4 linked regions of the Coturnix japonica genome follow. The protein of the gene in region 1 purifies or fractionates together with the protein of each later gene. This does not show direct contact. Links are inferred from orthologs where the notes say so. Each region holds a gene or a part of one and is shown in the gene's direction. Other genes may lie near its edges.

What was found.
Region 2: the proteins of PRKAA1 (region 1) and PARS2 purify together in Homo sapiens (affinity purification with mass spectrometry; 3 studies listed by BioGRID and IntAct, with this or other methods). This does not show direct contact. The link is inferred for Coturnix japonica from reciprocal best matches to the Homo sapiens genes PRKAA1 and PARS2.
Region 3: the proteins of PRKAA1 (region 1) and USP10 purify together in Homo sapiens (affinity purification with western blotting; 3 studies listed by BioGRID). This does not show direct contact. The link is inferred for Coturnix japonica from reciprocal best matches to the Homo sapiens genes PRKAA1 and USP10.
Region 4: the proteins of PRKAA1 (region 1) and PRKAG2 purify together in Homo sapiens (affinity purification with mass spectrometry; 8 studies listed by BioGRID and IntAct, counting the BioPlex papers as one, with this or other methods). This does not show direct contact. The link is inferred for Coturnix japonica from reciprocal best matches to the Homo sapiens genes PRKAA1 and PRKAG2.

Annotation. Positions count from the first base shown.
Region 1 is NC_029547.1:11,810,945-11,818,936, reverse strand, and holds the start of PRKAA1 (5'-AMP-activated protein kinase catalytic subunit alpha-1), read left to right. Parts: upstream 1-2,551; 5' UTR 2,552-2,730; coding exon 2,731-2,860; intron 2,861-7,074; coding exon 7,075-7,216; intron 7,217-7,992. UniProt on the Homo sapiens protein: Catalytic subunit of AMP-activated protein kinase (AMPK), an energy sensor protein kinase that plays a key role in regulating cellular energy metabolism.
Region 2 is NC_029523.1:22,554,157-22,562,405, reverse strand, and holds PARS2 (probable proline--tRNA ligase, mitochondrial), read left to right. Parts: upstream 1-3,565; 5' UTR 3,566-3,670; coding exon of another isoform or gene 3,671-3,775; 5' UTR 3,776-4,023; coding exon of another isoform or gene 4,024-4,035; 5' UTR 4,036-5,470; exon of another isoform or gene 5,471-5,484; intron 5,485-5,677; 5' UTR 5,678-5,682; coding exon 5,683-7,086; 3' UTR 7,087-7,088; downstream 7,089-8,249. Other genes in the region: LEXM (lymphocyte expansion molecule), read right to left, coding at 549-651, 1,747-1,877, 2,283-2,411, 2,552-2,719, 2,977-3,114, 3,209-3,346, 3,449-3,565, 3,671-3,775 and 1 more; TTC4 (tetratricopeptide repeat protein 4), read left to right, coding at 7,399-7,473, 7,540-7,657, 8,041-8,249. UniProt on the Homo sapiens protein: Mitochondrial aminoacyl-tRNA synthetase that catalyzes the specific attachment of the proline amino acid (aa) to the homologous transfer RNA (tRNA), further participating in protein synthesis.
Region 3 is NC_029526.1:14,995,523-15,003,027, forward strand, and holds the end of USP10 (ubiquitin carboxyl-terminal hydrolase 10), read left to right. Parts: intron 1-970; coding exon 971-1,136; intron 1,137-3,908; coding exon 3,909-4,053; intron 4,054-4,692; coding exon 4,693-4,758; intron 4,759-5,845; coding exon 5,846-6,033; 3' UTR 6,034-6,305; downstream 6,306-7,505. UniProt on the Homo sapiens protein: Hydrolase that can remove conjugated ubiquitin from target proteins such as p53/TP53, RPS2/us5, RPS3/us3, RPS10/eS10, BECN1, SNX3 and CFTR.
Region 4 is NC_029517.1:5,603,343-5,610,847, reverse strand, and holds the end of PRKAG2 (5'-AMP-activated protein kinase subunit gamma-2), read left to right. Parts: intron 1-7; coding exon 8-134; intron 135-777; coding exon 778-943; intron 944-1,266; coding exon 1,267-1,304; intron 1,305-1,970; coding exon 1,971-2,117; intron 2,118-3,532; coding exon 3,533-3,626; intron 3,627-4,469; coding exon 4,470-4,501; 3' UTR 4,502-5,239; downstream 5,240-7,505. UniProt on the Homo sapiens protein: AMP/ATP-binding subunit of AMP-activated protein kinase (AMPK), an energy sensor protein kinase that plays a key role in regulating cellular energy metabolism.

The DNA of each region.
Region 1 (7,992 bases):
GCAATTGGTGACAGTTATGTTTTGATGACTGGAAGATTTTGATACAGATGATCCTCTCTCCTGTGCAGTTCACTGTGTTTATGACTGAGTACCAAGAGCAGGCTGCCATCTGGGCTATGAATAATTTGAATAACTGAAATCATATTGGCATAGAGGAAATCGTGGGGGAGGGGGTCTGGGTAACACCTCAGGCCCAGGCACAGACATATAGACAATGTCTTGAGCAAGTTAAGACTGTGGTGTTGTGTGCTGTCTGTTGGACACCTGATACTAATTTGTCTAATGCCTCATTTACATCAGTTAAGCAGGAGGCAGCTGAGCCCTACATTATATTTCTTGACTGTCTACAAAATATGCTACTGAGATGAGTAGAAAATCAAGCTACCTGGGATGCTTTGCTTAAATAATTAGCAGTAGAAAGCGCATATATGGACTGTCAAAAGGTTTTACAATCCTTAAAGAATGCAGATCCATCCATTACTTATGTGATTAAAGCCTGTCAAGATGCAGGCACAGAAAGCCATAAAATGGCCTTGCTGGCAGAAATGCTGGCAGCCCAGCTCAATGCAGGGACAGATCAAAGAATGAAATAATACAATTGTGGGGACCCAGTTATGTACAGAGGGACCATAAAGTACCTAAGCAAGCAAATAAAAATGCTCATGCTGTTCCAACTCGACTTTGTCCCCAGTGCAGGAGGGGGCTCCTCTGGGCAAGAGAATGCTCATCCAAACTCCCTGTTGCTGCACAGCCCTGTGATCTGCTGGGAAACAGGAAGAAACGTGCAAGACCGCATGCTGTGACAACAAATACAGTCCTGAATCAGCAAGCCACTGCCGGGCCAGCTCACTCAGACCAGCCACTGCTGGCAGTGCAGGAGTGGATTTGGCCACTGCCCAGTCAGTGCCGCTGATGGACAGCACCATGACTCTCATTGCAGCAGGTTTAGAAGTGATGAGAGAACTTGTAATAAACACTTTGGATCATTCACATCTGAGTCCATGCATCAGACACTGCATTAGTGGGCTCCACTTATATTTTGTTGTTTGTTTTGAGCTGTTGTTTGTAATAACATAGGAGAAAGAGAAGAGTGCAGCCTTCTTAATATTGCTAGGAACTAAGGCCTATAATGCTCTAAATTTTCTTGAGAATTTGACATGTAATCCATTCTGTCAACAACTAAGGAACAGTTTGGGAAATTATTTTTAGCAATTTTGTCAAATATCTCCATTCTTACCATACACTTCTCTCATGTCCAGGAAATACTGGTAGACTATTTCAGGTTTTTTGCTCCAGTATTTGCAGCTGTCACCTGTTTCACGTGCAAGTGAGCAGCATTAAATTCTTGCAGCCAAACATTTGCATTTCTTCAGCTTTTATCAACTAGTCGTGATTCTCTCATGGTTTCTTCCTTGGGTGTTTCTCAGATGAGAGTCTACCTTCTGTGAGAGTGTTTTCAAAATACAATGTCTACCCCTCGTGCTTACTCTTCTGCTGTTGGAGATGGGATAAAATGTCATACCGTAAAAAGTTTATATAAACATCAAATACCTTGTAGTGTCAGTACTTTGAAAGCTGAGGCTTCACTGGATTACAAAAAAAAGTACATTAGCACCATGCTTGTACTTGCTAATAGCTCTGAACTTCTGCTTTTCCTTAAGGATAGGGGATGCCATTTACAATTATGCAGAACAGAAGGAAATCACATGGGTACAGATGGGAACAAAGCCTGATGCTTGTTCTTTTCCTCCCCCAATGCAATGTGTGCCTGAGGATTTGTTAGGAGCTGATGGGCCCTGCTGCAGAAGACAGGAGGTTCTGCTGCAGAGCTCAAAACTAGAAAAAGAGCAACAACCAATTTTCTTCACTTTCTATTCTTCTTTTCCAGTTACAAGGACAAAACAAACAAACAAACAAAAAGACCATAACAATGTAATTGAAGCACTGAACATGAGCTGTAATAAAAAGTAGAATTTCTGTCTTTAGACAGTATCCAAAGGGAGTTTAGATAACATCCCCGAGTTCAGAAGTTGGCACCTTTACACATTAACAGGGGATTACTGAGGACTACTAATACCTTTTTGTCCTGCATCGTATAACATCTTTTATATGTTTGCGCATGTTAAAGAGTTTACATGTCATGTAGTGCTGGCTGAAAGAATCTCATTTTCTCAAACACGATCCTCATGAAAATGCTTGAAATTCAAATTCTAAATTACTCAAAAATCATTAGTTTTATTTTCCTTGCTTTGACTGTTTTACCATGTAAAATGTTACTTGAATGATACACAAATTTTAGCAGGGTGCATATTAAAGTAGTACCTACGATTTTACTGGCCTATGTTTTGCCATTGGCTGAACAAATGACACCCTCACCATCTTTGCATCCCTCCTGTGGACCACGGTGTGGACCAAGCAATTGACACTCTTCTAATTCCATCTGTTTATTTGAAGGCAGGATTGGAAAGCAACTTGAAAATAATATTTGCAGGCAAGAACAGCTGTTGGTCTGCAGTATGTAGGAAGCGGATCCAGGCAGGGCAGCAAGCAGGTGAAAGAAGAGGACATCTCCCACAGCACTCAACCCGGAAGGATTATCTCGCACCGCCGGAGCCCGAGTAGCAGAAATGGTTGGCGGGGGCGGAAAGCGGCAATAGAGGAATAGTGTCTGAGTTCCGGGGGCCGGCTGCGTGCCGGAGCTCCTCCTCGCCGGAGGCCCCGTCCAACACCATGCGCAGACTCGGCTCTTGGCTCAAGATGGCGGCGGCAGATAAACAGAAGCACGAGCACGGTCGAGTGAAGATTGGGCACTACATCCTGGGTGACACGTTGGGAGTCGGCACTTTCGGCAAAGTCAAGGGTGAGCTGTTGCGCCGTCTATTCCATTTGGGTCGGGGCTGGGGCAGGTTTCCCGCTGGGACCCTCGCTGGGGTCGTACGGGGGCTGCTGGGGCCCCGGCCGGAGGCTGGGCACTGTCAGGCGGAGAGCCGGGCGCTGTGTCGCGGGGTGCCACAGGGCTGAGGGCTGGGCTCCGGGTCCCGGCTCGTATGGCCGCGTTTGGTAGCTCTGGCTGTGAGGGGCGGCCTGGCCATGGAGGCGGCAGCGGGCATGGCTGGGGCGGGGCGGGGCGGCTCTCCGGACGGGGGATTTCTCTTCCGCGTTGGCAGACATCGTTCCTGGAGAATTCCTGCGTGCGAGTGTGATCGCATCTGTAACGGAGGTGGCCGACGTTCAGGCACACCTGCCCGCGGGATTGCGTTTTGTCCCTCAAATATTTGCCGCCCTTAAAAGGTCAGCGAGCTTTCTTGCTTCGCAAAGGGCAGAGCATTAAACCAAAAAAAAATCCTGAAATTATTTGACTAACGAGCTCAGCTGCTGACACAGCTGTGTGGGAATTCTTAGTGCTGAGGCTGGTGGTAACTGAAGTTTCTCTACAGCTCTCAGCTCAGTTGGTGGTGAGAGATTATGGTATAAGAAAAAGCTTGTCCCGTTTTTATTCAGCTAGGATTTTCCTGGAGTTTGTGTGATGTGGGTGGCTTTGCCATGACTTCAGCTGATGCGGAGCTCATTTCCTTCATAGTATCTGCTATGATGCCATGTTAAATCAGGTTAAACCATGACAGTCTTCTTGGAAGAGGGTGTTTAATGGCAGTGACAACCCCAGAAATCAAGTGGAAAAGCAGATTTGTGAGTAACTATCAAAGGTTTCCCGCTGTTCAGCAAGCTGTCAAATTAATTCACCTTTTCACTTGGTGTTTTAATATCACAGATTGTTGTTGCTGATCTGATGTTTTGCCCATGTAACTCTTAATTTGGCTCTATAATCCTGACTTAATTACTGACTTAGTTCATCTGTCTATCTCTCAGATAGGCATTCATAGAGAAGACAACTGGTTCTAGCATTCTTTTTTGCCTTTCATGTCCAGGCATAGCAAAAGTATCACTGACATGAAAGGTGAAAAAGACTGCTGGAAGTAAATGAGTTTTGTGAAGTACATTCTCACTTCAATTGTACAAGCATTTGGCATATAACACTTATTCTGACCTCAATGACTTTGGATGTTGGGCAAAGCTCTTTACAGAGGGAGTGCTGAGAACAGGCTGCTCAGGTTGGTGGTGGGTGCTCCATTCTTGAAGGTGAACATCTTCAGACCCAGGTTGGGTGGAGCATCTAGTTCCAGACCTGGAGGAGGTTGGTGGCCCTGCCTGTGGAAGAGAGGTTGGAACTTGATCCTTAGGGTCCCTTTTGACCCAATCCATTCCATGATTACTATTATAGTGTTGCCTTTTGAAAAAAAATGGTCATACCTTCTGCTGAATCCAAAAGCAGAATTTTATTTCCAAGTGTTTCAGATGGTTAGATTTCATGAAAAGAGGAGTAGTCAGACGTCTGGTAATTTTTAGTGAAACTGAGTATACTGTTTGTGATTGTAGATACAAAATGTTTGTCCAAGCCTTGAAAACAAGGCTAAGAACTGTGATCTGCAAAAATGATTTAAACAGGCCTTGATGAAATGTGGAGGGGAATAGTGAATGTAAGTTTGCTCTCTGTTGTCTATGCACAGCATTAGCTGCTGTTTTTGCTGTTTTAATTAATTAATTAATTTATTTTTCCCAAGTTAGTAACGATATTATCTTAATTTTAAAGAGTGCTGCTCTCTACTGAGCCTTGGCTTGGATTGTTTGTTTCTGTCAGTGTATTTGTTTACACGTAGTCATAGAATCATTAAAGTTGGAAAAGACCACTAAAATAATCTAGTCCAGCCATCAAATGGGGCAACATAAGAGTCTGCTCCTGCCACTAAATTTCACCTTCTGTGGTCTCCTGCGTCAAAGATCTTGTAAGTCTAATGCTTGTGGTATGGCCAAGTGAGGGCCACCCTGCAAGTGCCAGGTCTGCTAGACTGAGGCTGTATAACTTCATGTGATTTAATAAAGCCCAGGGTTTAGTGAGAGCCCCCTCTGCACTGCACAGCTGTGTATTTCTGTTGCTTGTACCTCCAACTGCCTTCCCATTGCAGAGGGCATCCAAAGAGATGCCTCCTCAGTGTGCCCATAACTGGTACCTACATCTCATAAGGACGTCATATTTCCTGTGGTTTGGGGTTGTTTTTGCCAGTATAAGGCTTGAATTTAGACAAATGTTTCTGCACTTAAGCAATTGAAATTGTTGCTGAGGTTGTTGCAACTGTGTCTTTGAAAACTTGTTGCTGTGCCTTCAAGTTTCAATATGACTATGCAATTTGTATTAGTGATAGAACATGAGGAAATGGTATCAGGTTGCACTGAAGAGGTTTGTATAGGATATCACGAAGAATTCCTTCCTTGAGAGAGTGGGCAAGCATCAGAAAGGGTTGCTCCGGTGGAGATCCCATCCTTGCAGGTATTTAAGTGGATGTGCCACTAAGGGACATAGTTTAGTGATGGACTTGATAGGTCAGGTTGATAGTTGGATCTGGTGATCTTGAAGTTTTTTTTTTTTTTCTAGACTAAATGATTATCAACCTAGAGTATTATCAAAGAATAAAGAGGGGTATATTAGCTGTACAAAGGGAACTTTCTATGCAGTGCTTTTACTTTCTAAGACTGGTAGAGTACTAAAATGATTAACTTGATTAATTTAAATATATTTCTGGATTGTAAGCCATCCCTTTTGTAGATAAAACTTATGCTAAGAGGTAATACAGAGTAGCTTACAGAAAGATAACACTGGCTTCTTGGTTTTCTATGGGCTGTACATGATGTTATCATCTGAGGTCTTGCTTTCAGCTCCATTCTTGTGTTGAAGAATAGTCAGCAGTCGCAATATACTTCAAACTGCTCCATCTTAAGGTTAGTTTGTTCTTAAGGCATGCAGATATCTGACTGCTTCTTTGTGGAATTATGGATCAATTCTCATGTGAGGCACATGCAGAATAATGTTGCAAAGGTACTTTACTGTTGTGAAATACAACAACAGATCTTTTAAAATTCACATCTTTTAAGGGATGTAGAAACACTTGCATTTGCTGTTACATAAGACAACAAAGTGAATATTACTTTTGTCTGGGAAAAATGATTTTTTCTGAGAAGAGTGCTGTTTAGTATTTAAAGCACAAGATCTGTTGTGGTTGTCTGGTGCTGTGTATACTCCATGGATTTGCAAGTCAGTCTTACTTCATGAAGGGGATTATTGGAAACTCCAGTCTTAAAGCTAGATTTCATATAACCTTAAACTTGAGGGGGTGGGGGGGGGAAGTGCAGAGGGGCAGAAACTACTGAAGAAATATGTAGTATATCTGTGATCTGTTATGGCATTTTGCTGGGAACTTTGTTGTGGTCTTTTCCAAAAGCACCTGCAAACTTAAGGAATTTAAGAGATGTAACAGTCTAGAGGACATTTTACGCTACGAACTTCCTCTACAACAAAAATTCTTCTAGAAGTGGGAAGAAACTTAGAAATGTAAGAGATTGCTTGCTGTAGTTAACACTGGATTCTATTTTGTGCATTTTTTCTATGTTTTGCCATTTATACAATGAAGCTCTGGTGTGATACACCTCCTTACTATGTGAAGGTGAAACTACTATAACTGCAATTTCAAGATTGGATACTCTTAGCAATAATTCCAATTGCTGAAACACGCTTCTTGAGGGAAAGGAAGCTGTCATGTTATACTAAGAGCAATGTTTGCTGACTGAGTAGAAAAGCTGCAGGGAGAGCATGCCTGAGAGGATTATCAAGTGAGCTCAGATTGACTCATACAGAGAAATGAAATTGTCTTCTTCCTTAACAGTAATGCAGTGTTTTGGGATACAAAAATGTTTTCTTTGAAAAAGTGTATTCATGCTGCAGTAGTTCCAAGTGTGAGACCTAAGGTTTTAATTCATCTTCTCTCAGTAGAACTGAGAGATTTATTTGGGGTACAGAAGAAATCATGTACTGTGGGGTCTTCAACCTCCCTGAAGATAATGGGAATTTGCGGAACATTTAGTATTTTAATTGTAGTATTTCTTGGCTATATTTGAAGTGACCTATTGAATGTTCTTTATGGAGCAATTGAAAAATCTGACTAAATTCTTTTTTGTTTCTTGTAGTTGGCAAACATGAGTTAACTGGACATAAAGTTGCAGTGAAGATCCTGAATCGACAGAAGATTCGCAGCCTTGACGTTGTAGGAAAAATTCGAAGGGAGATTCAGAACCTCAAACTCTTCAGACATCCTCATATAATTAAGCTGTAAGTTCTATTTGCTATGATCAGATCTATTCAAGCAATAATCTCTTGCTTTCACTGCAATGTGTCCAAAAGGCAGTAGTATTGGCAGGAGCTTCTTAGGAATCTAACCAGCTTTGAAGAAGCAGTATTCCGTTTTCAGTGTCCTCTGTAATGCATTTTCATAAAACTGATCTGCGCTGGGGGACAGAGAGGTGTGCTTTAATGTTCTTTTTCTTTTTTTCTTTTTCTTTTTTTTTTTTGGGGGGGGGGGGGGGGGGGGGGGAAGCTGGGCAGGGGGCTTCTAACAAATTAAGAAGGTTGTAAAATGTATTTCTATCGAAAATTACTGCATTTTTTCCCCCTCAGTATTACTTAACAGCATGCTGATCATTTAACTGTGATTTCTCTATTGTAGATGGCTCTGAAAAAATTTTCTGAATTAAGGATGTACAGTCTGTTAAGTGTAATCTGATATTTCAGAATTCTTTATGTAGCTGTTACTACTTGTCTAGTATGCTAAAAAGTTGTTGCCTGCCTGTCCCTGTCTGTTAGGCAATGAATAGCTCATGAATAGAGTTCAGAGTGCAACTAAATATGTCCTAGACTAGACACTTTGTAATTTATTTTCTAAGACCAGATTTAAGTGCCATTGATTTTTGGCCTGCTTATGCATATACTAGGGCACATATAGAGAGCAGATGATTATCATTCTTAGTTATGGAGTGGCAGTTTATTTTTTGTATTCTTGGACTTGTATTAGGATCATGATAGATTCCCATCTTCTACATTCCTGTAGG
Region 2 (8,249 bases), on another chromosome or scaffold:
GGATTTGAATTGCTAATTCAAGTGAAGCTATGAGTTGTAGATCGTAATGAAGATCCTCACAATGATAGCAAGTCAGACAGGTATGCAGACAGTTCCCAAACCTCTCCCAGCTGCCACGGTGCTGCTTTCTCATGACCAGCTCTCCTTTCAAGTTGCTGTGGTGGACCTTGGTGCACTCACTGCTTGCCATGATAACTGCCACCATGCACAGAACACACAGAGAGCTGCACGGCCCTTAAGTAGTGCAAGCTGACGGGGAAGGAAATGCTTAATGCTGAATGAGTGCTGCATGCCACAAACCTTCCTGTGGTCAGTGTATGGTGTCGGACATCCTCTTCTCCACTGTGTCATTTTCATAAAGGTGAAAACAATGAATTAGTCAACAGACAGGTTAGACTGACGAATGTCTGAAGGGTGTTTTATTACCACAGAGCAAGACTTGTTTCCTATCTCTTGCATGCCAGCACACTGCGAGTATTCGCATTACACCATCTCATCCACTGGCATGTCCATGGTTTATTTGCCAATTCAGGCTCTCCAGCACCATCTTACATTTGGAAAACAGCAGTGCTTTCTTCACAGGTATCTGGACAACGTGGAGCAGAAATCAAATGACTCCATTTGTTTTTCGCAGCAGGCTTTAGCCGCTCGCTGTGAAAAGAGGATGTGATTCAGTGAGCTCTAATTATTGGCTGGATTAATCTCATTAATCTTAACGAGCACGGAGGTGAACAGAGCTCTTAAAAGCCTGGCTATTCCCTTGAAAGTAAAGCTGTAGCTTGAAAAGTGATTTTGGAGCTGGTGCTATTTGATCATAGAGCAACTCGGTGCATTTGAACATCCTGCTCTCTGTTCAGGCTTTTTTTTTCTATTCCTACTGGAGCTACAAAATTAACAAAGCCAGCAATATTGAAAGCTAGATTTCATTATGCCTTCTCCTTCATCATGGGATAGCTAACTCGGAGCTGCCCCAGCTGAAGGCTGCCATGTTGTATTGAACTGAAATGGATTTCTAACAACTCTCTGGAGATCAAGACTGCTTTTGCAGAGCTGTCAGCCCATAGTACCACCACAGCAGTTTGCTAATCTTGGCCATGAGCAAAGGTGAAAGCAAAGGACTGCCCTGAGGTCTCTCATTAGTACAGTTCCCAACTACTTCACAAGGTTTTCCCCCTAGTGATTTCAAAGCCCTTTGCAATGGAACTGAGCCTTGTTATCTTCTTTCTCCAAATGGGTAAACCAAGGCGCGGTCTGAGAACGCGGTTTGTGTTTGAGGCCATTGATCAAATCAGTGCCAGCACAGGGAATGAGCTGAGAGAGCCTCATCCACTGTTGGGTTCTCCCCCAGGCTGCCTCCTCTAACTCAGACACCATTTGTCTGTACCTCTTCTTCATACAGACTGCATTCCACAAGGTAGAACAACCACCTCCATACCTTTAAAGTGCCTGGGCAGCCAGCAGCATTTTAACCCTCCCACTGCCCTTACACAGAGGGAAGCACTAAGGGCTGCTCGCTTCTTCACAGACATATTAACTTACCATTCATAGAAGGACCCTGTTCTGGGGCCACCAAGTCCCATTCCAGCACTTCCAACCCCACAACCATCCCTTCTGCTATTCAGCCTCTCAAGTCAGTTGTAAACTACTAGTATCTTCACTCAGCCTCACCAGAGTTGATCAAGACAAAGCAAGTTTTCCTGCAAGCTGATGTGAAAGTGCTTCCAGCCCCTGTTATATGCCACTTACAGCATGTAGGCATCCTGCTTCAAGTTGCTCAGGTACCGCTGTGTTTCACTCTTGTACAGGGACTGGTATCTGATCTTCCGAGGGTATTTGTCATATCTGCTGAGATTATAGCGGCCCACACCCACACGATTCTGGAAAGGGAAGGTCACATGTTGTTTCCCTGTCGCTGCAGAGGCTGATACAGTGGAGCAACATTGGGTAGCAGCTTTATGTTGCAGAAAACAACAATGTGTGGAATATCTTAACCAAAGGAGGTCTGCATTGCAGGGGAAGGAGGAGGAGACATGCTATGTTATCTGAGCATGCATTGGGAAGGGCAGAGGTGATGTGGCTGCTGCTGAGCTCCTGTCCCTCTGCTCAGCATCAGCCCAGCTCACGCTGCCCATCTCAGCGCCTGCTCTGCACTGGGTGCCCACAGCTGCAGGATGAGGTTTGTAATCTCACTGGGTGCCAGCAATAGATAGAGACAGTGACAGAGACAAGCTTAAAGCCTGATGGCTCCTGTGCCCCTCTCAGGCTGCCCTGCGCTCACTCACCTCATTCCCCATGAAGAGGCGTTCGGCCTTTTTGTCAAACCTCTTTGCAGACGACCAGAACGGGGGCTGGTTGAAGTTTGCTGATCTCTCAGCAGGCTTTGGATCGTATGAGCCTGGTCCCACCTCAAACTGTGCAGAAGGAAACTTCTTACCCTTCCATCTGCTCTCAGGAATAGCAGCCCCACAGCACTGCCTGGTACCCAACACCACCAGGTGAAACCAGCAGCTTGGGGAGGGTGGAAATGGAACAACACCCCACTGCCACTGACCGCGTCCCTCGGGCACTGGCTGAGCGTGGCCCAGAAGATCCTCTCTGTGGGGCAGCCCGGGTTCCGTGGCATTGTGCTGAAGCAGCCTTTCTTCTTGTTTTCCCTTGACATCAGCTCATCCGGGAACCCCTTGACAGTGACAATGTGCTTCTTGGTGTCTTCCTCCTGCTGGGCCACAGGAGCTGCATGAGGCTCAGCTGCTGGAGGTCACTCCAGACACCCCAAAGACCCCTCGCTGTGAGAGCTGAGCCTTTCACTGCTCACAGACACTCTCTCCTGCTGTGAGGATTTATCTCACCATGCTGCTCAGATCCAAGAAAGCCAAAAAGCAAAACTCAAGATGAAGTGCAGCATAAAGCAGCTTCCATCTTACACATTTGTGGTGGCAGTGACACTTACTGGGACCTCCCGTCCAGGTTACACACCTCCTCATCGGGCCACAAGATGACTGCAGGCTTCCGCCTTTCCACTGGGACCTGGCGGGTCCTGCGTCTGCCCGCCGGTTGCAGCTGCTCCTTGGTGCTGCTCCATGGGGAGTAGGTGCCGGGTGCCAAACCACTGCCCTGCAGGCACAGAGGGAAGATGGCAGGGAGATTTCAAGCAGAGAAACACAGCCACCCCAACAAACACGATCCCAGGGCAAAGAGCAGGACGTGCCGTGGCTGTCAGGAAGACACACTTCTCTGTCCTGCTGTCCATCAGCGCTCGTGTGCTGGCGGAGCGCCTGTCCCTCTCATCCAGGGGAGTGTAGGGGTTCCCCTGGGGGCCGTAGGTGCCAGGCCCAGGGAAGAAATCCTGCAGGAGAGATGGGATGGTTGTGGGCAGCCCCCAGTCAGCTCTAGTGATGGGAAACGCTCACAGGGATGCCAGCAGCTCCCAAGTCAGGCTGCAAAATACCCGCTGTCTTTCTCTGAACCTCTGCTCCCTTGTGTCGCAGATGCCCCTCAGGCTCGAGGGCTGTGTCTCCTGCAGGAAATCCCTGATGTTGTACGTTCCCGGGCCCAGCCTCTCTTGCTGCAGAAGGAAAAAGATGGTAAGGATAGGCTGGGTATCAAAGGCAACACTGCCAGTGCTTCCTGGCCACCCGGACAAGGAGAGTGGATCAAATCCGGCTCTTACCTGTTGTTTGCGCTTCTTCAGCATCACCTTGAACTGGAAATGGGGCAGCTGAATTGCCCGGGAGCATGCCCCTGCTATGGCCCAGCCAGAGGCTGGTGCTGCCCCCTGCAAGGCAGATCCAGAGCACAACTGTACATACACCACTGCCTCACATGCTGGCTTTGTTATCCATCCCAAATTAAGGCACTAATAAATGGTTTTGCTGTTGGGTGGGGAGCATGAGCCCACATCCCACATAGACAGAGTGCTCCCCGCTGGATGCCTCTGACTGCTGTGCCAAGAAGTCATGATAATTCAGGAGCTAAACCAGGAATCCCTGCTCTCCCCACTGTGTGCCCATTTGGTGGCCTCACCCGGCTGCCCATGTCCCTCGCTGCTGGCTCTGCTCACCAGGGCTGCTGTGACAGACTTCACCATGGCAGCCTTCACCATGGCAGCCCTCACCATTGTCACCTACCACTCATTCTGAGCTGCTGTAGCTGTAGCTATACTGGGGGCTCCAGCCTGGCTGCCCCGAGCCCCACAGTCCCCACTGCAGGATCCCTCAAGCTCTCTGGGCCATGTGTACCGGCAAAGCCAAGCAAGTGCTTGGCTCCCACCAGGGATGCAGTGTCCCCCTCCTGGCACCCACATTCCCATGTGAGGTATGACCCGGTTCTGCCCCAGCATTGCAAGAGTGCAAGGGATGGTGTCCCCACATGGCACCTCTGAAGGGTTATACTGTATACACTGAGATTTGTTAGACATTAAATTTATCTCTCCAGCCAGGGACATGGCCAAAATCAGTGCATGACCAGCCCCAGCATCACGAGCTGTGACCCAGAAAGCAGTTGGAGCAGCTTAAAAGAAGCAGCAGTTTTTAAAGCTTCACCTCGGGGCTGTTCTGCTGTCTGACACACATTCAGAGCTGCAGACACACTGAGCTGGAGGCTGTTTCCCAGCTGCCCTGCGATGGTGGCAGCCTGTGCCACCTCTTCCAACTGGAGGAGCAATCCCAAGAAGCACAGGAGGTTCTGTGACAAGCCCCGCAATTACCATTTTATTGGACATAAAAACATCACCCTGGAGTTGTAAATTACAGAAGCATCCCAGGAAGGAATGGAAGCACTCAGGAAGCTCAGCCAGACGGATGCACAAGGCAGTACTATGGGCTGATGGACCCTCCCAGCTATGTAAGATCATGGCCAGGGTCAGCCAGGATGTAGCCAGCGTGACTGGGCCAGGGCTGAAACCTCAGTTTGATCCCTCTGGGCACAGCTGGAAAAGATAAAGAGTGCAGACAGGCTCCCAGCCTCCAAGCTTAGCTCCTCATCCAGCACTGTCTGCTGGTTTAATGAGAGATATCAGCTTTCCCAGCAGACCTTGTCTGTTGTACAGCCTCAAACCCTCCCGCTTAAAACACTGCCCTGCAAATCAATCCAAGATGTTTAGTCTCTTTGATCTGCTCGGCAGGCAGTAAGTCATTGACAGAAACACACTTTGCTTCAGCAGCTCCAGCAGGAGATGGAAACAGTGAAGGACCACTGTCCTGCCCTGCAGATGGACCTGCATGGTATGGGGCGTCCTGTATGACCTGCAGCTCAACTGACTGCAGCAGGGAATAAAACAAGGGAAACCATCACCGGGACAACAGTGCAGCTGCTCTGATAGGAAAGCACCATCCTGGAGCTGGAAACCCGCAGGCTCAGAGCTGCAGAGCTGCGGAGCTGTACGGACAGCGGGGGGACCTCCGCACAGCAGTGGGAGCTGCTGAGCAGCCATAGAGCAGCAGCACTTTCTACTTCCAGGATCAGGAAGGAGGTGCGGTGTGTAACGTGACTTGGGGCGGTGCGAGCAGCTTGGGTTTGGGGTCCGCGTGTATATGTGTGCGGAGCGGGGCGGTACATGCAGGCACTGCCCAGCTGGGACCTGGGGGGACTCAGTGCTGGGGCTGCGGGTGTTGAGGCTGCAGGGCTGCCCAGCACGAAGCAGCACGTAACGCCTCGCTTTGCTGCTCGCTCCCTGTAGGTGTGATGCTGCGGACCGGGCTCCCCGTGCTCAGAGCAGCAGCAGCCCCGCAGCTGCCGGCCCGCAGCTCCCAGCACGAAGCCTCATGTCACGGCCGGCTGCTGCTCTCACAGCTCTTCCAGCCTCTGAACCTGCAGGTGGGTGTTGCTGCAGGGTGCGAGGGGCAGACAACAGAGCCGGGCTGCCGCAGCCACCGGCTGATGCTGCAGGGCGGCCTCATCCACCCCGCCAGCCCCGGCTGCTTCCACCTCCTGCCGCCCGCCCTGCGAGCCATGGAGAAGCTGATCCGCCTGATGGATGGAGCCATGAGAAACATAGGGGGGCAGAAGGTGAACATGCCCAGCCTGAGCTCTGCGGAGCTGTGGAGGACCAGCGGGCGCTGGGAGCAGATGGGGACCGAGCTGTTCCGCTTGGCAGACCGGCACGGCAAGGAGTATTGCCTGGGTCCTACACATGAGGAGGCCGTCACCGAACTGGTGGCTGCACACAGCAACCTGTCCTACAGGCAGCTCCCGCTGCGCCTCTACCAGGTGACCAGAAAGTTCCGGGATGAGCCCAAGCCTCGCTTCGGCTTGTTGCGCAGCAGGGAGTTCTACATGAAGGACATGTACACCTTTGACAGCTCAGAGGAGGCAGCACGTCACACCTATGAGCTGGTGTGTGCAGCCTATAATGGCCTCTTTAAGCGCCTGGGTCTACGCTGTGTCCAAGTGCGGGCAGCCACCGGCACCATTGGCGGCACTGCGTCCCATGAGTTCCAGCTGCCGGCTGATATCGGTGAGGACAGGTTGGTGCTGTGCCCTGCTGGGCACTTTGCAGCTAACGTGGAGATGTTGGATGAAGGGCAAACGGCGTGTCCCACCTGCGGGGAAAAACTCACTCAGAGCAGAGGGATCGAAGTGGGGCACACGTTTTATCTGGGCACCAAGTATTCCTCTGTGCACAATGCTGTCTTTTACACCCCAGAGAACAAGCTCCAGCCAGCAGAAATGGGCTGCTACGGTCTGGGCGTCACTCGCATCCTGGCAGCATCCATTGAGGTGCTGTCTACGGAGGACAGCATCCGCTGGCCGAGCCTCATTGCACCTTACCAGGTGTGCTTCATCCCCCCTAAGAAAGGCAGCAAGGAGGAGCAGGGAGCCGCGCTGCTGGAGCGTCTCTATGATGATGTGGCTGAAGTCCTGCCTCACATGGAGGGAGACATGGTGCTGGATGACAGGACACAGCTGACGATTGGCAAGAGGCTGAAGGATGCCAACAAACTGGGCTACCCCTACGTGGTCGTAGCGGGGAGGAGGGTCTGCGAGGACCCCGCGGTGTTTGAGGTTTGGGATCAGAGCTCTGGTACGGTTCTGTACCTCACTAAGGAAGGTGTCATTGAGTTACTGAGTAAAGTGCAACTCCATTGAGATCCCCGTCTCCAAGTTTATCATCTGTGCGCCTGAACGGCCCGGTTCTTTCTATAGGAGCTGCTTAACAGCTGTGCTGTGGGGTGGGGATGTGTGGTTCAGCACCCCTACGGTTGTGAACACCTCCATGAGGAGGGCAGCCATTTACAGCCGTTTACAGCCATTTACGGCCACTTGCAGCCATTTGCAGTCCTATCCCCATCCCCTCACACAGCGCGATGCCGGCCCGCACCCCACAGCGGGCAAAATGGCGGCGCGGGGCGTGGACATGAACGGGGCCGGAAGGGGAGGGACGGAGCGACCGGTACCAAGATGGCGGACGGCGAGGAGAGCGATGCTGAGGTGCCGCGGTACCTGAATGGCTTCCGTCCCGATACCTGGGAGCAGGTGAGGCCGCGGGGCGGGACGGCGTTAATGGGGCTGGTGGAGGGAGCTGACACGGTGTGCCCGCAGGAGATGGAGGCCATCCCCATGTTCATGAGGCGCTGCCCCGACGAGATCGACGCGGAGCGGCATCCCGAGCTGGCCTGCCTGCAGTCCATGCTGTTCGACCAGGACAAGGAGCCCGCAGGTGGGCGGCAGAGGGGCCCCAGAATCACAGAATGACCCGAGTTAGAAGGGACCTCAAGGATCATGTAGTTCCAACCCCCCTGCCTGGCAGGGCCACCAAACATACACCTTTACTACATCAGGTTGCCCAGAAGACCCCATAGATCCCCATAGAGACCCCATAGATACCCCATAGATACCCCATAGCTGCCCCATAGATACCCCATAGAGACCCCATAGCTGCCCCATAGAGACCCCATAGCTGCCCCATAGATACCCCATAGCTGCCCCATAGCTGCCCCATAGATGCCCCATAGAGACCCCATAGATCAGGTTGCCCATGGCCCCGTCCAACCTGGTCTTGAACACCTCCAAGGACGGGGCATCCACAACCTCCCTGGGCAGCCTGTTCCATCCCTAGGGCTGGTCCCAGCTCCGCTCGTGCCCGCCCCGCAGAGCTGGCCACCATGTACAAGAACGAGGGCAACGCGTACTTCGAGGAGAAGGACTACGGCCGAGCAGTGCTGGCCTACAGCGAGGGGCTGCGGCAGAGCTTCGAGGACGTGGAGCTCCGAGCCGTGCTGCTGTCCAACAGGGCAGCCGCCAACTGCCGA
Region 3 (7,505 bases), on another chromosome or scaffold:
AAGCCACATTACTGAAAGGCTGCAGCTGAACGCCCTACAAAAAATACCTCATGCCCCATGTTTTACCACTTCAGTTCTTCCTAAAGTCTCCCATATTTCTCTACAGAGGAGTGCATGGACATAGTCTGGATATGGGAAATGTTGGAAGGAAAAGGAAACGCTGATCCTCAACGGAGGATAGTTTGGATTTCCTATGGCCAGTTCTAACCAAACAATTTAAAGTGACCATGAGACTGGACATGGTGAAGTGACTGAAATAGTCACGTGTTTAATTTCATAATCTGGACTTGGTTGTTATTTTTTACAGCAAAACATAAATTGGAGATGGATCAGTACTTTGAGTTTCTGATCACTTGTTTATTGAAGCATAATTTCAGGAATCTGATGTGAACAGAGATGATTTTAAAGTCTCCCTGCAAAAAGAGCTGGCTTCCTAACATACTTTCCAGACATATGTATGTTTCCTAGAGCAGAGGTATTTTTGTGGTTAGCAGTATATTAACAAAAGATAGAAGCCAGGGTAGGAACGCAGTTAGGTAAAGCTTCATAAATCAACTTTGGCTGCGCTTTGCCATGAAACACAGAAGTGTTTTGTGTTTTTTTTCATTTCAGAATAGAAGTTTAGTTGATCGCAATATGTTTTAATGTGTCCCAAGTTGCAGACCTTTAAAGGCATGGCCAAGCACTTCTTTGCTTCAGGTTCTTTAAGTGACTGATGCTTATCCAGAATTGTTTAAATACTTGCATAAACAAAATAATTGAAATATAATTCCGTTCGGTGTGCTCTGAGGAGTTATGAAACTGATTTTACTTGCATTAAAGTGGATACTTGCTATTGAAGCTAGTATTTGTATGTTTTGTTCAGGTTTAACTATCTGCAAGGTGGACGCTGATTTCTTCTTAATTGAAGATTTTTGTATTGTTGAAAATTACTTTCCTTTTTTACATTCAATTTTTGCTCTTTCCGTAGATCTGTTGTTTACCAACAGAGTTCTAAAGAATCTGCTACGCTGCAACCTTTCTTCACCCTGCAGCTGGATATCCAGTCTGACAAGATACGCACCGTCCAGGATGCATTGGAAAGTTTGGTGGCAAGAGAGTCTGTCCAGGGTTATACCACAAAAACCAAGCAAGAGGTGTGTTCTGTTGACTTGTTTTTACAGTCAAATATTAGAAGTTCTTTCAAGGGTTTTTACTCAGCTCTTGTTTTACAAATAGTTTCTTGAACTCGTACTCCTGGTGTTAATAAAAAAGGTGCTAACCTTCTTGGTGTGTTGCAGCAGTAGAACATAATACATTTGAATACATACAGTGAAAGGCATTCAAGGAAGAGAACCAGCTCTTAAACAAAACTGTGCTTGTAAATTAGAATGTTTTCTGAAGATTTTACTTGAACATATTAAATTAACAGGGTAAACTGTGATAATAATATGTACTATTATAAGTAAAATGGCTTTAGCTTGTCTTAACATACTCATTCCTGAGGATTGCCAGGACTCTTAAACATAAAATCTGGTTTATGTTTTAGAGGCTGCATAGAAATGCAAGCATTAGGTCTTTCTTTTCTTAAGAAGTTGTCAAAAGAGCTGTTCTTATGTTACAAATTATAGTGAAAACACTGAACACAATGAAAATTACTATGTACAACATCCTGAAAGCCAAAATCTGTTGTGAAGAAGCATTTCATCTTCATTTTCTTTATGGGGAACTCAGAAACTGTTGAAGCTAAAAAAAAAAAAAAAAAGTCTTATTTAATTACTCTTGTTTTTATTCTGACTTTTTTAGATCTGAATTGTATTATTATCAAGTTGTGGGCATAAGCCGTAGTTACAACAATAATCTTCCAAATGCATGAACGATTTCTTAGTTTATTTTTCTAATCATAAGATTTTTGTGTTAATGTAAGTAGGAAATAATCAGACTCTCATGCAGTGTTTGAAAATAAATAGGTGTTTTATGCAGGTGTTTGAAGAGGAATGACATTCTGTAGGCCATTCTCATTCTTTTTTGGTCTTGCAGATCTGTTTAAGTCTTGAATGTTTCAACACCAAATACATATAAAAGCTTAATTTTTAACTAGAAGTGGCCTTTTTCTTATTTGCAGACCTGTTCGCATTTTGTAGCAGTAGTGAAGACTTGAGTAAGAAGCTAGCCTTTCCTCATTTACTTTTCCTGCTTACCTTCCACAAACTCCTTAGGAGTCTTCACATTCTCTGTAGTTCTCAGACTGCTTCTTGAGGCTTACACAAATATTTTCTTGGGACTCTGCTCAGTGTTCGCTAAGCAAATGTTTGGAGCACTTCTTGCTGGTGATGTTGCTACCAGAAACCAGGTCCCCTGGTGGTCAGGGTAGCAGGTTGTGTGCTGGGTCCACAGCCTGGCACCAGAGCACAGCGCTGCTGTGATCTGCGATCTAAGCTGAGATTCTTGGTGAGGCACAGCTGAGTTGCAGATGCATGTTCCCAAACACTAGCTCAATGATTGAGAGAGGAGAACAGCAGCTGCTTGAACCACTGCATTGGTATTCTTCTGTGTCTTCCTATCTTGGTCTGGGCTTGGACCTGTGAAGCATTTGGGGTTGGTTTGTTGGTTCCTCACAAAATTGAATTCAGATTTTAGATTGAGAAGACTCAATTCCAGGAAAATATTCAAATAGTGATAATTGTCTGAATCAAGAGTAGTTTCATTTATATAAAGCCTTTCCAGATTTGCTCCATGAAAACAGCCGCTGTTCCATGCTAGAACACATGCAGTATGCAAACTCTCCTATGTTCATAGGAGAATTGTGTGCACCTCTTGTCGCATCTTCTCTTTCAGAGTCTGCCTTAGAGCTTCTTTTTTCTGCGTGTTATTCCTGGAAGATGGATGGGTGGGTGCCAGCAGGCACTTATTGAGTGGAAAAGAACAGGGCCCTGTTTGGCCTGCAGGTTTAAAAAAACAACAAAAAGCACACAAAACCCCTCTCTTGAGGCTCAGAGAAGCTGCCACTGTTGCCCAGTGGTTAGATGGTTTTTGGATGCAGAAAGGCATATTTTGAACCCTTAAGATGTAGGTGAAGTTTTACAGTTAGTAGAGACTATTTCTGTTTCACATGTTAAATTATTTCTTGTAAAAAGTATCAGCTCAAATCCTTGAGGAAATCGTGTACCCTACAAAACCTGCTTGCTTCAGTATCATGAGAGCAATAAATTTTAGTATTCAAGCTTAGAAGAGTTTTTCCTCAGGATTTTCTATTCCATGCTCAGTAGCAGAAGCAGATCCTCTGTTGGAATACAGTATGCTGATGATTTACCATAAAGAGGATACAGGTGATTTTTTTTTTTTTCCTAATCTGGAAACTTAGAGAAGCCTAAATCAGTTACTTGGAGAATTTTTGGTTTTAGTTCAGAATTTCTAGGAAGAGGAAGCATTTTTGTTCTGCAGTTTGGAGCCCAGTTTTACATTTCCAGACAGTAACTTTTTGGGCTACTTGGATGTAACTATATAGAAGTCAGTATTTAGTAAATAAATGTGGCTTTAACTCATAGTTTTTTCTCTGTATTTCCTTCAGGATCTTTACAGAACCTGGTATACCTTTTAACAAAAGAAACATCATTCATTACCGAAACCCTCCATAACTCCTGACCATCGTGACACTCGTTTTTAGATAGCTTATTTAACAGCTCACTTTGTTTTTCAAGGGAATTCTTGAACATCAAGTACCTCGTTGATTTTAAATTGTTTTTAAACTGTTACATTACTAGTATCTTACTGTCAGATATCATAAGCTGTGTTATAAACTGCCTTACGCTGTGCAGACTTTTTTCTTTGTGCGAGTGTCTCTAAAATCAAATACTTCTTCTTTTTAAGTAGCAATTCTGAGCAGTCAACAGAAATCATTTTTAATTCGTCTTTTTCTGTATTTTTAGGTGGAGATCAGTCGAAGAGTGACACTAGAAGAACTCCCCCCTGTCCTTGTTTTACACCTCAAGAGGTTTGTTTATGAGAAGACGGGCGGATGTCAGAAGCTTATCAAGAATATTGAGTATCCTGTTGATCTGGAAATTAGTAAAGGTAAAGATGTCTTCTTTAACAGAAGTTTCCCCGGTTTTGGGAAGGGGTAATGTTAACTCCTTAGCTTGTTGTACCTGTGTGTTTCAGTTCTCTTCTTTGCTTCCAGCTTTGTGCACAAGATTTCTTCTCCATGGAGGGTATTGCCACCTAGAAATGTAGTAGTTTTGCTGAATATCTTTTCTGAAGGGAAAAAAAGCACAAAAAGAGTATGTTTAGGAATCTGGAGATTGAGCCTTGACAAATCTGACATTGCCTGTATATCAGCTTGAAATAAGAATATTGTGTATTTCTTATATCAGGCAAAGAACTTTATGGTGAATGATCTTATAACCTTTGTCACATCCTAGACATTGAGTTGGCCACGTGAGAGCTTCCTGCAGACGTATGGAGTAATGTGGTAGGCTGATGAGGACAAATACTAGGAATGACCCCTGAATGAAGGACGTGTCCATACTTAGGGCTGTTGCCAAACAGTGCTGTGTGTTTTTGTGTCAATTTCAACCTAAAATTGATAGTTGTATACATTTTAGATGAGATTTCTCTGTTTATACTAACGTTGATTTCTGTTAGAAATCTCTGTTAAAACTGAATTTCTGAATTTACTGACTGTTGCCTTCATGACTCTTTTTCCTTCTCCAGAGCTACTGTCTCCTGGTGTGAAAAGTAAGATTTTTAAAGGCCAAAGAACCTACCGGCTCTTTGCAGGTACTTTATCTATATTCCTCATGTCCCTGTAGTGCAAATACCAATTCTACACGTAGAGTTCTAGAAACCTGGATTGCATAATATTTTCTTATTTATTACAAAATTATTTTAAAGTTAAAATAGTTTATGGGTGTCAGATTCTCTTATTTAGTGATATATTTTATTTTTTTTTTCATGCTCATATACCCCTGTAATGCTGCATCTGTATTTATATGCTGACTCTTCCAGCTTGAAACTCACACAAAAAGTTCTTCAGTAGATCCACATTAAAAAAGCAAATAGATGGGAAATTGATAGATAGGTAGATTGAGTCCAACCACAGCCCAACCATCCTGCCCTAACTGACAACCCTCTACTAGGTTGTGTCCCTGAGCACCAAATCCAAACAGTTTTTAAACACGTCCAGTAATGGTGACTCAACCACCTCCCTGGGGAGCCCATTCCAGTGCTTAACAACCCTTTCTCTAAAGAGGTTTTCCCTGATATCCTACCTAAACTTACCCTGGTGCAACTTGAGGCCATTTCTCCTTGTCCTGCCACCAGTGAGAAGAGACTTTATAGTTTTCTTTAATAGACTGTTGTGTAGATTGTTCAGATTTATTCTTTTTTCAGTGAATTGCTTAATGCTTTATGGCACTTTTCATTGTTAATTTACTTCAGTGTCCTTCAGAATCATTAGATTTGGTATGTCGGAGAGACATTACGTAGTACTGCCTGGTTGAATCATGGGTATGTTATGAAGAAAGCAGAATGTGACTTTTATTCTGTGCTTTTATGTGGCAGTGGGTATTCATAGAATCACAGAATGGCCTGGGTTGAAAAGGACCACAGTGACCATCCTGTTCTAACCCCCTGCTGTGTGCAGGGTCACCAGCCACTAGACCAGGCTGCCCAGAGCCACATCCAGCCTGGCCTTGAATGCCTGCAGGGATGGGGCATCCACAGCCTCCTTGGGCAACCTGTTCCAATGTATCACCACCCTGTGGGTGAAAAAATTCCTCCAAATATCCAACCTGAAACTCCCATCTCAGTTTAAAACCATTTAATGTGTAGCGTACACACGCATCACAAATTTCTCTTTTCACAGTTGTTTATCATCATGGCAACAGCGCAACTGGTGGCCATTACACTACGGACGTCTTCCAAATCGGGCTCAACGGCTGGTTACGCATCGATGACCAGGCAGTGAAGGTGATCAACCAGTACCAGGTGGTGAAGCCGTCTGCAGAACGCACAGCCTACCTCCTGTACTACCGCCGAGTTGACCTGCTGTGAAACTTCTCCTTCTTACGCTGTGTGTGCAAGATACCTGCTTTGTAGAACGCCAACTATCACTTAACTTTTTTTTTCCTTCTCCTGTAAATGCTCTTCTGAGTGAATCTCTTTTTTTTTTTTTTTTCTTTTCTTATCTTTCTTTTTCCCTTGCAACTATGGGATAGAGTGAGAAAGGAAACTACCCTGGGTTTGTGCACAACGTAGTTTGCGTTGACGTTGACTTAGCAGAATGGAGTCGCTGGGTTGAAAGACTCGAGTCTCGTGAATCACAAAAATTACAAAAAAAAAGAAAAAAATTAAAAAGAATAGTTTAAAAAAAAAAAAGATACTGAATTAATGCTGAATCCTAAGATAATAAACAAGGGATTTGCATTTGATTCCCACTTTCTAATTGCGTAGTAGAAAAAAAACCCTGCACCAGCAACAGAACTTGTAGATTTCTGTGAAAATGTTTTATCTTTACTTAATTAAAATAAAAAAATAAGAAAAAAAAATAAGAAAAAAAAAAAACGAAAAGCGCTCTCTGCTCTCCCCCCCCAATAGTTTTTGATAAGTGAGTAAAATATGAGCCAATGTGTATGAGATGGAGGTGGTCCTGCGTGCTTCGAAAACGGACAGACGTACCAAATGCAGAGTTGCTGGTTCCTAATAGGAAGACACGTTTTAATAATTGTGTGATGAGAAACTGCTTAAGTACACATTGCAGATCAACTATTTGGAGTTAAGATGTTAGTCTATATAGATGGGTGATCGTAACTTTATTGCTATTATGAAATTTCAAACTGCATTTATGCTTCTGTGTACATGAAATTTAAGAAAAAAAAAATGGGCAAAATAATTAAGGTTGATATTTCTTTAAGTCTGCTTTGTTTAATTTTGCTGTCTGCTCTCCTATAATGTTGAGTTCCTAATTGTACACAGTTTAGTGATATCTAGAAGTATAAAGTTGTCGCCCATCAATAAAAGTCACAAAGTTGGTTTAAGGTGGTGTGTGTTTGTGTGGGTTTTGTTTTTCTTCCAGAGTAACTTCTAGCCTTGAAAACTCCTAAACATTGCCTTGTTGCTCTTTTGACAGGGTGCAGGTGGTGGTGCTCAAATGAAGTGCAGATGCTTTTTGTCTTTAACAGCTCATTGGAACTTCAGAAGTGTTCCTATTTGGCACTGAGATGTAACCAACCCCAAAGGAGAGGCTGCAGCCCACGGGGAGTGAATCCTCCCTGTGTCCTACGTGAAAGGCTGGCAGGGATGCAGGGATGCCAGCCTTAATGGTTCTGCAGAAGGTGATGTTAGGTTTTTCAAGAGAAAGGAAGCAGCTCTGTAAGTGCCTTAGGTTGCAACACTTGTCTGTTGACGTGGGCTTCCCTCTTGTGTTTTCTGCCCAAACAAAGCAAGAATTAGTCACCTTACAAAAGACAGGAAGCTTATTCATGGCTGCTTCCTGCGAAAAGTAAAGTGATGGTGAGTCCAGATGC
Region 4 (7,505 bases), on another chromosome or scaffold:
TCCTCAGCCTTTTTGATGCTGTATATTCATTGATCAAAAACAAAATCCACAGATTGCCAGTTATAGATCCCGTCAGTGGAAATGCACTTTATATACTTACCCATAAAAGAATCCTCAAGTTCCTCCAGCTTTTTGTAAGTACTTGAAGTTCTGCTTTGCTTTAACTGTTTTTTTTTTGTCTTCTGCCCACCCCGAACCCAGGTAGACCTCTCCAAACAAAAACACCAGGGATACGTCAGGGCTTTTTGAGTATTTTGGTGTCATATTCTGGATGATCTCAGCTTCGGGAGCTTGTTTGATTACAGAAGCAGAATAATGACTCATCTCCTAGAACCAAGCTTAACTCAACTTGCTGTGCTGTGTGTTGGTCACAGGAGTGGACAGGAGGCCAAGCAAAGCAGAGGGATGTCAAAATGAGCATGCAGCACCCCACATCTTTGATGCCTTCTTTTTTCAGATTAACTGGGAATGCCATAGCTTAGGATCGAAAGATTTTAGTGATGGGTCACTACAGAAATAAACTGACAAGCAAAATAGCCAAGATGTGGAGTCGTAACTTAAAACTTGTTGGAACAGCATTAATGTTTCTGGATCTAGGCGTGTTTTGGCTTTATGTAAATCTAATAATAGATTATTGTAATGATCTGTAACTACTGTTTGGGGTCTCTAGATGGATGGATGGATATTTATTTCCTGATTACATATAAAAAACCTGGTAACAGTAGTGTATCATGCAGGAAACTGCGTTGTGTAAACATATCCATCTGCCTTTCCTAGATGTCAGAGATGCCAAAGCCTGCCTTTATGAAGAAGAATCTGGATGAACTTGGAATAGGAACCTACCACAACATTGCCTTCATACATCCAGACACTCCTATCATTAAAGCCTTGAATATATTTGTAGAGAGGAGGATATCAGCGTTACCTGTTGTGGATGAGTCAGGTGTGTGTTGATTCTGCTGTGCACAAGTGTGGTAAGATAAATGCTGTTGAAGCCTGGATTTATTTTATGTGTTTATATATAGTATGTATAATATTGTATGTGTGTATGTATAATCTATGTATATATGTAGATATAGAATGATTATGTAAGATATATGCTGATGGACCTGGAAGGATTCATCATGGGTGGTGGGTTTTGGTTTGGTTTGTTTTCCTGCTTTCCTTCTTAGCCTCTCTCTGTGTCATTATAACACATGAAAACAGGGCACAAGAAAACTAACTTTCTATTGGAAGCGATTTATTAATACCTATTTTTCTTTCTAGGAAAAGTTGTAGATATTTATTCCAAATTTGATGTAATAGTAAGTACACCTTTTAAATTCTATTAAGTGGTTTTTTTTTTTTAATGTAGTGAGCAATTAGAAATTAATTTGCTAACGGGCTGATTTTGTTATTTGGATTGTACTTAATAAAACAGATGTAAAAATGTACATTGAGTGGTAGTTCCAGCACAGACCAGGAGAGGGAGTTCGAGCCTGCAGATAGGAAAGGTTGAAGACACCTACCCTTTGTTTTCTGCTTGAATCTCTATAGCAGGATCTACTCAATGGGTGGTGTTCAGAGCAGTCAATGTCCTCACCTGGCCTTTGAAAAACAACACAAATGGTTTATTCTTCGAGTATATTCTGTATTTCCTGAAATCTATAGAACATCATCTTCCCTTTTTCCTTGTGGCAGAAGCAGGATGGGTGACATCAAGCCAAATACTAGAGAATGAAGTAGGAAGACTTTCATGGCTTGATGTATAATTACAAAACATTATTATCAATGAATCCAGTCTTTAGTATGGTGTCTAATGCAGTTGCATGCTTGACTGCTCCCAAAAACTACAACTGAAGAGCATCTGCTTTGTTTAATATGCGACTTGGAACAGACTTGGTTTACGTCTGAAATGTGTGTCTACTTGATGCCAAACTATTTGCTTTGTTGGGTACTTTAAGTAGTGAGCTGTGTGCCTTGTTTTTCAGAACCTTGCTGCTGAAAAAACCTATAATAACCTAGATATCACGGTGACACAGGCCCTACAGCACCGCTCTCAGTATTTTGAAGGTGTTGTAAAGTGTAGTATGCTGGAAACACTGGAGACCATTGTTGATAGGATAGTGAAGGCTGAGGTGAGTTTGCCCCCTTTTTTATTTCCCTTCCCTGTAAATTGTAATTGTCCTGTCAATCACAGAATTATCAAGGTTGGAAAAGACCTAGAAGATCATCTAGTCCAACCATTCCCGATACTTCCCAGCTAAACCATATTCCTCAACACAACATCCAAACGTTTCTTGAACACTCCCATGGTCGGTGACTCCACCACCTCCCTGGGCAGTGCATCCCAATGCCTGATTACCTTTTCCGAGAAGCAATACTTCCCAATGTCCAGCCTGAATCTCCCCTGGCGCAGCTTAAATCCATTCCCTCTAGTTCTATCACTTGTCAATGACTCGATGCTTTTTTTTCCCTGTTCTTTTTCTGTGGTTTATCCTATGATTTTTGTACTGGGACCTTCTTGCACATGGATGTGAATGACTTCAATTTTACACTGTTTTTTTTTCACCCTTGGGGCCATAACTGTACATGTGGTTACTATGAGTAGAATTCCCATGTTGTGAAAAACCCCCTCAGAACTTCCATGGGGTGATTCTGACGTGCAGCTTCCTGCATCAGCTCGAGCTTCTTCCTGAAACTCAGAGATTTCAGCACTGCTGATGCACAGATTCCAAACGTGGCCGATCTTATTAATATCTTCAGAAGCTTTAGGCGTTTGGGTTTTCAGAACAACTCCTACCCTTTGGCTCAGTCTAAACATAGTAAGGCTATGCAAAAATGAGTCAGTCAGAGCCACAGGGGAGGCAGTAATTGGTGCTATTTTTAGCTGCCAGACAAATGCTTGATCTCACTGGATGTGAAACAACTACATTGTCCATTATCCTTGAATTCATTACACTGTGAGAAGGAAGAGTGTGTGCATACACACATAGCCCTGTCAGAAAGAAAATGCAAAGCATATTCTCCCACTGTCCCACTCTTTTTGTTTCCTCACAGTGTCAGCTGAGTGTGACTCTGCCAATAACATTCGAGATCCTCTTTTTTGCTTTATCTGACCGGCAGTGAAGCGGTTGACCTCCGCAATAAATTCCCATCTGTATTAAGTCGAGACACTGCAGCTTTTCTTGCTGTCGCTTCTGTGAAAGGATGAGAAGGTTTTTTTCACTTCCTTCACAGTTACGTTTGATTAGTTAGACTTGAAGTCCAAATTCATTTAGGTAAGAAGTAAATCAGTACCGAGCTCTCAACTTTCGTTAGGCATCCATCCAAGGATGACCTCTTTGAGTTGGCTCAGCTACAGCCCTTTGGTTGCACAGCTCCCAGCTTGAGCTGGGTTGCAGTGCTGAGGGGCACTCTCCCATTCTGCAAGGCTTTTAAGACATAGATCTTGGCTTGTCTGCCATTTCAAATATGATTTTATTGCCATCAGACCTCCGTGTGCCTTTAGCTCTTATTCCACTCTCTCAAAACTGTTTTTCCCTCCTCACAGGTTCATCGTTTGGTGGTAGTGAATGAAGCAGATAGCATTGTGGGTATCATCTCCCTTTCTGACATTCTACAGGCTTTGGTACTCACACCAGCAGGTATGGATGTTGCCATAAGTCATTCAGTAGTGCTTACAGCTTGCTGGTCTTAGCGGGTATGATAACAATAATACACTGCTGACCTTAAATTTATGATAGTTTGATTATACTCTCCAAATAAGTGTTTCACTTCTCTGCAGGTAAAAGCCAACAAAGTGCTTAACTGTCAGTCTTTTGTTACTATTTGCTGTGTCAGACATCACCCCAGAGTGAATTATTCCAGTAGAAGTCTCTGACCTATCACTAAACTTGGTCGGGTCAGTCCTCTGGCTTTGTGATTAAGACAGGAAATGTCTTAAGATCACAGTTTTGCCTTCAAAGTACCAGGTTAAGGAGACAGAGCTGAACATTCAGGGGAGTTACAAGGGGAGTTCCCACTCCTGCACTCTGGGTCATGTGCTTCTGGTGTTTAGCATGTGGCAGCGCTCCCTCTCACGGGATCCTTCTATGAGCTGCTTTATCCCATTGATCTAATGGGAAACTTTGCTTTTTAAGAGCACTATGATGATTAAACTTGGCTTCCGGAGCTAGAAGGACAGGCTTTCAGCGTGGTGTATTGGGGGAGAGGTACTTCAAAGAAAGGCAGTTTGAGTAACTTCCCAGCAGAGTGACTTGGAGAATTACCCTGCCAATGAAATGAGAGGCAGTAACGGCCTCCAGGCTCCCTCAGCCTGTGAGCATTCAGCTGTACTGAAGTGTGCTCTTTATGGATCCTGTCCAGTCCTAAGGTTCGGGTAATGTGGGCAGACAACAGTTGCAGCATTCAGAATGAGAATTGCCGTTCCATGAGGCAAGTGCTGTATGCATAAGGAAATCACACATGCTCTCCTCTTCTGTTAACAGGTGCCAAACAAAAGGAGAATGAAAGTGAATGACTGCTGTGAATGTATAAACGTTTGTAGGAGAACTTGAACAAAGTTTCTGGGTCAAGTTTGTCTGGAGAACAGTGACTGCAATAGAACAGAGCAGGATGGGTGAGGATGTGTTTTGGGACTTAGTGATGGATGATGAGTCTATTCCCCCCCAGTGATGTCGCAAAAAATAAAACAAAGCAGCATGACAAAAAGCTTATGTTACAATGTAGGCTTGTGTTTCAAAACGTCTTCAGAACATTTTGCTGGAAGACTTCACACGATGTCCTTCATTAAAATGCACTGTATCCTGAAACCTTTTTCATTTCTGTATTTGACAGAAGTCACTGGTCAGCAATGGATATATGTGACATAAGGCAAGTGTATGGCATATTCATATCATAGTGCCTTATGTCAAAATACAGCAATATGTCATCACTGTTGCCCATCACTGTCAAAGGAAGTATTGTGTTAAATGAGACACTGTATTTGAATGTGAAAGTCTTTAAACCTAAACCAAATCAGTTTCAGTTCTCATTAGACTCGTCATAAAAGCTGTAATTCGAATATCAGTAGACTTCTTTAAAACTTTAATGACAGTTTTGTGTTAAATGTCGCATTCTGAACCGAGATGTAAAACGAGACTGATTTTAAAAACAGCTTTATTTATTTTTACTTTCATGACAATTTTTTACACATCTTTGGTGGATAGCTACAATTTCACCATATCCATTAATAAACTGTTGATTGTTATACAAACCAGTGGCAGATTTCCTCCTTATTTACAACATTGGAGCTATAGGGCTGTCGGTCAGACCATGTGAACTGGGGATTCCAGCATTGCTCTGTACTGTGCTATGCAGGCACCGTGTGGGAAAGGACGTGCCAGAGAACCAGGCTTCCCACTGTGTTGATGTGTCAACTGATGTCTGTACGACTCAAATGCAACTCTGTATTGGATGTGAGGGAGGCCGTTGGGGTTTTGCTGCTGTAAATGTACTGTAACGTTTGACGATGAGACTTTTATAATGGTAGATGGAAGAAATTAAACCCTCCAACTTCCGTTTGGTGTTTGTGGAAGCCCTTTCTTCAGATCTCGCTTCCTGCAAGAGATTGTGCTCCGTGAGCTGTGTGGAAAGGGATTATTGGTGGTAGGTTGGAATTTCACATGGTCAGCACTACCTGTAAACGCCATCCAAGCTGCACAGGTGTGACTTCTTGTAAGCCCGCTTGCTCTTCCAGCACCAGATTTACAGCCTTCCTTAGAAGGTATGGGATGGAATTGCCTAAATGCAGCCCTCCATCTCACTCCGCAGGAACAGCATTTTTCAGACCTACGTTAGGTTTGAGCCACTGATAGATGCTTTTTTTCCCCTCACATTATATTTAGCGCAAAGTCTTTTGGCCCTATTCCATCCAGACAGCGTTGTGCCTGTCTGCATAAATTAGCATGCAGGAAGCCAGAATGAATTTGCAGTTTTCAAACAAGCGTGCAAAGAGTCCCTTGTTTTAACATTATTACAAGTGCCCTGTGTGTGTTATGGACACAGAGCTAGAAGAACCATGGACAGCTGTTTCCTCAGCACCTCAAGCTTTCATCTAGGACGCTTCCCTTTCATGTAGCTCGCTAGGGAAGAACAGACTACATCTATATGTAGTGGTATCTATGGTATCTATAGAACTGAGAGCTCAGCAGTGTTGCCCCAAATTCCCTTTCTTAACACAGGTGTGACGATGTTTGCTATTGACCTGCTGCTGTGGATGTGTTTAAGTACAAGGAAAAGCCTTCATAGAACTATGCTTGCCATTATTCTTTTAATGAAGCTCAGCCCCTCGGTATTATGCACTATCTGGTGATGCCGTGAGCTCATTACTTTGGCAAATCGTCCTTTGCTGACACAGATTGTTTGGCTGATAAAAACACTTTCATGTCGTTTTACTTCTGGATTCCTTTCAGTTCAAAGATCTGAGGTCTGTAAGCCTTGCAGACGGTATTTGCTGTTTACTAGCAACTGAATTGCAACTGTTGAGTCTGAGTCTCTATTCATCGCCAGTCCTACGGAGTAATGCTCCGCTGGGAATGTTTGGGTAATGCAGAAAGAACCAACGTTGCTTTCCAAGGCTCGAGTTCTTGTCCTCCCAGCAGGCGAAGACTTTGACTGAAGCAGTTCCAAAACTGCTTAGAGAACACGCTTTGCCATCTTTCATCTCAGTTCAGGGTAAGCTGGAGTCATTCGGTTTCGGTCCAAGCAGAGGTGAAACCATGCGTGCTTAATCCTGCTGAACAACAGGGGCTGTCCGTGCCCAGCTCTCAGGAGCAGCCAGTTTGCTTCAGAACCTTCACACCTCCCACATTTAATGTTTGCTAAGGGTAACCTACAGGAGAAAATATCATTCTGAATAGCTTCATAGTACCCTTGGATCCACATCACGTGCGTTATGCAAAACAAGAATGTTCTGCAGACGATGCTTTTGTCAGTATTTCTAAGCAGACATTAGAGAAAGATGATCTTTGTCGAATCCATGAGGGGCCAGGGACAAGTGTGGGATGGAACTGAGTGTACTTTCTAACCTCAGTGGGCAGCCATACATATGGGAGCACACCCAGTGCTAACATTGGGTGCAGTTCAAATAGCTCCTCCAGTAGGTGCTGGTTGGCCAGAGGATCGAGCAGGTAATTAAAGTGCTAATTGCTTTTATAGGAACTGAATGTACAAGCCAGATGTGTTTTGCATTTGGAACTTGAGTAGCGCTGTGTCCATGGGTTCGTATGCACTGAATTGCCATAAAAACATTGAACTGCTGGGTTACGTTTCCTAGAGGAAATTCATCGCAGACACAGGCAACAAAAGGCCGATGCTTTCCCATTTCTCAGCCTCAACATCTGTTCCTGATCTCAGTGTATATACACGCTCTATTTGTGCCGGCACTCTTTGTTTTGGAACCCAGACCATTGCATTCGTTGACCGCATCTGTTGGGATGTCGTTTATAATAAAACGATTATAACTCACCAACGATTGGTTGTAC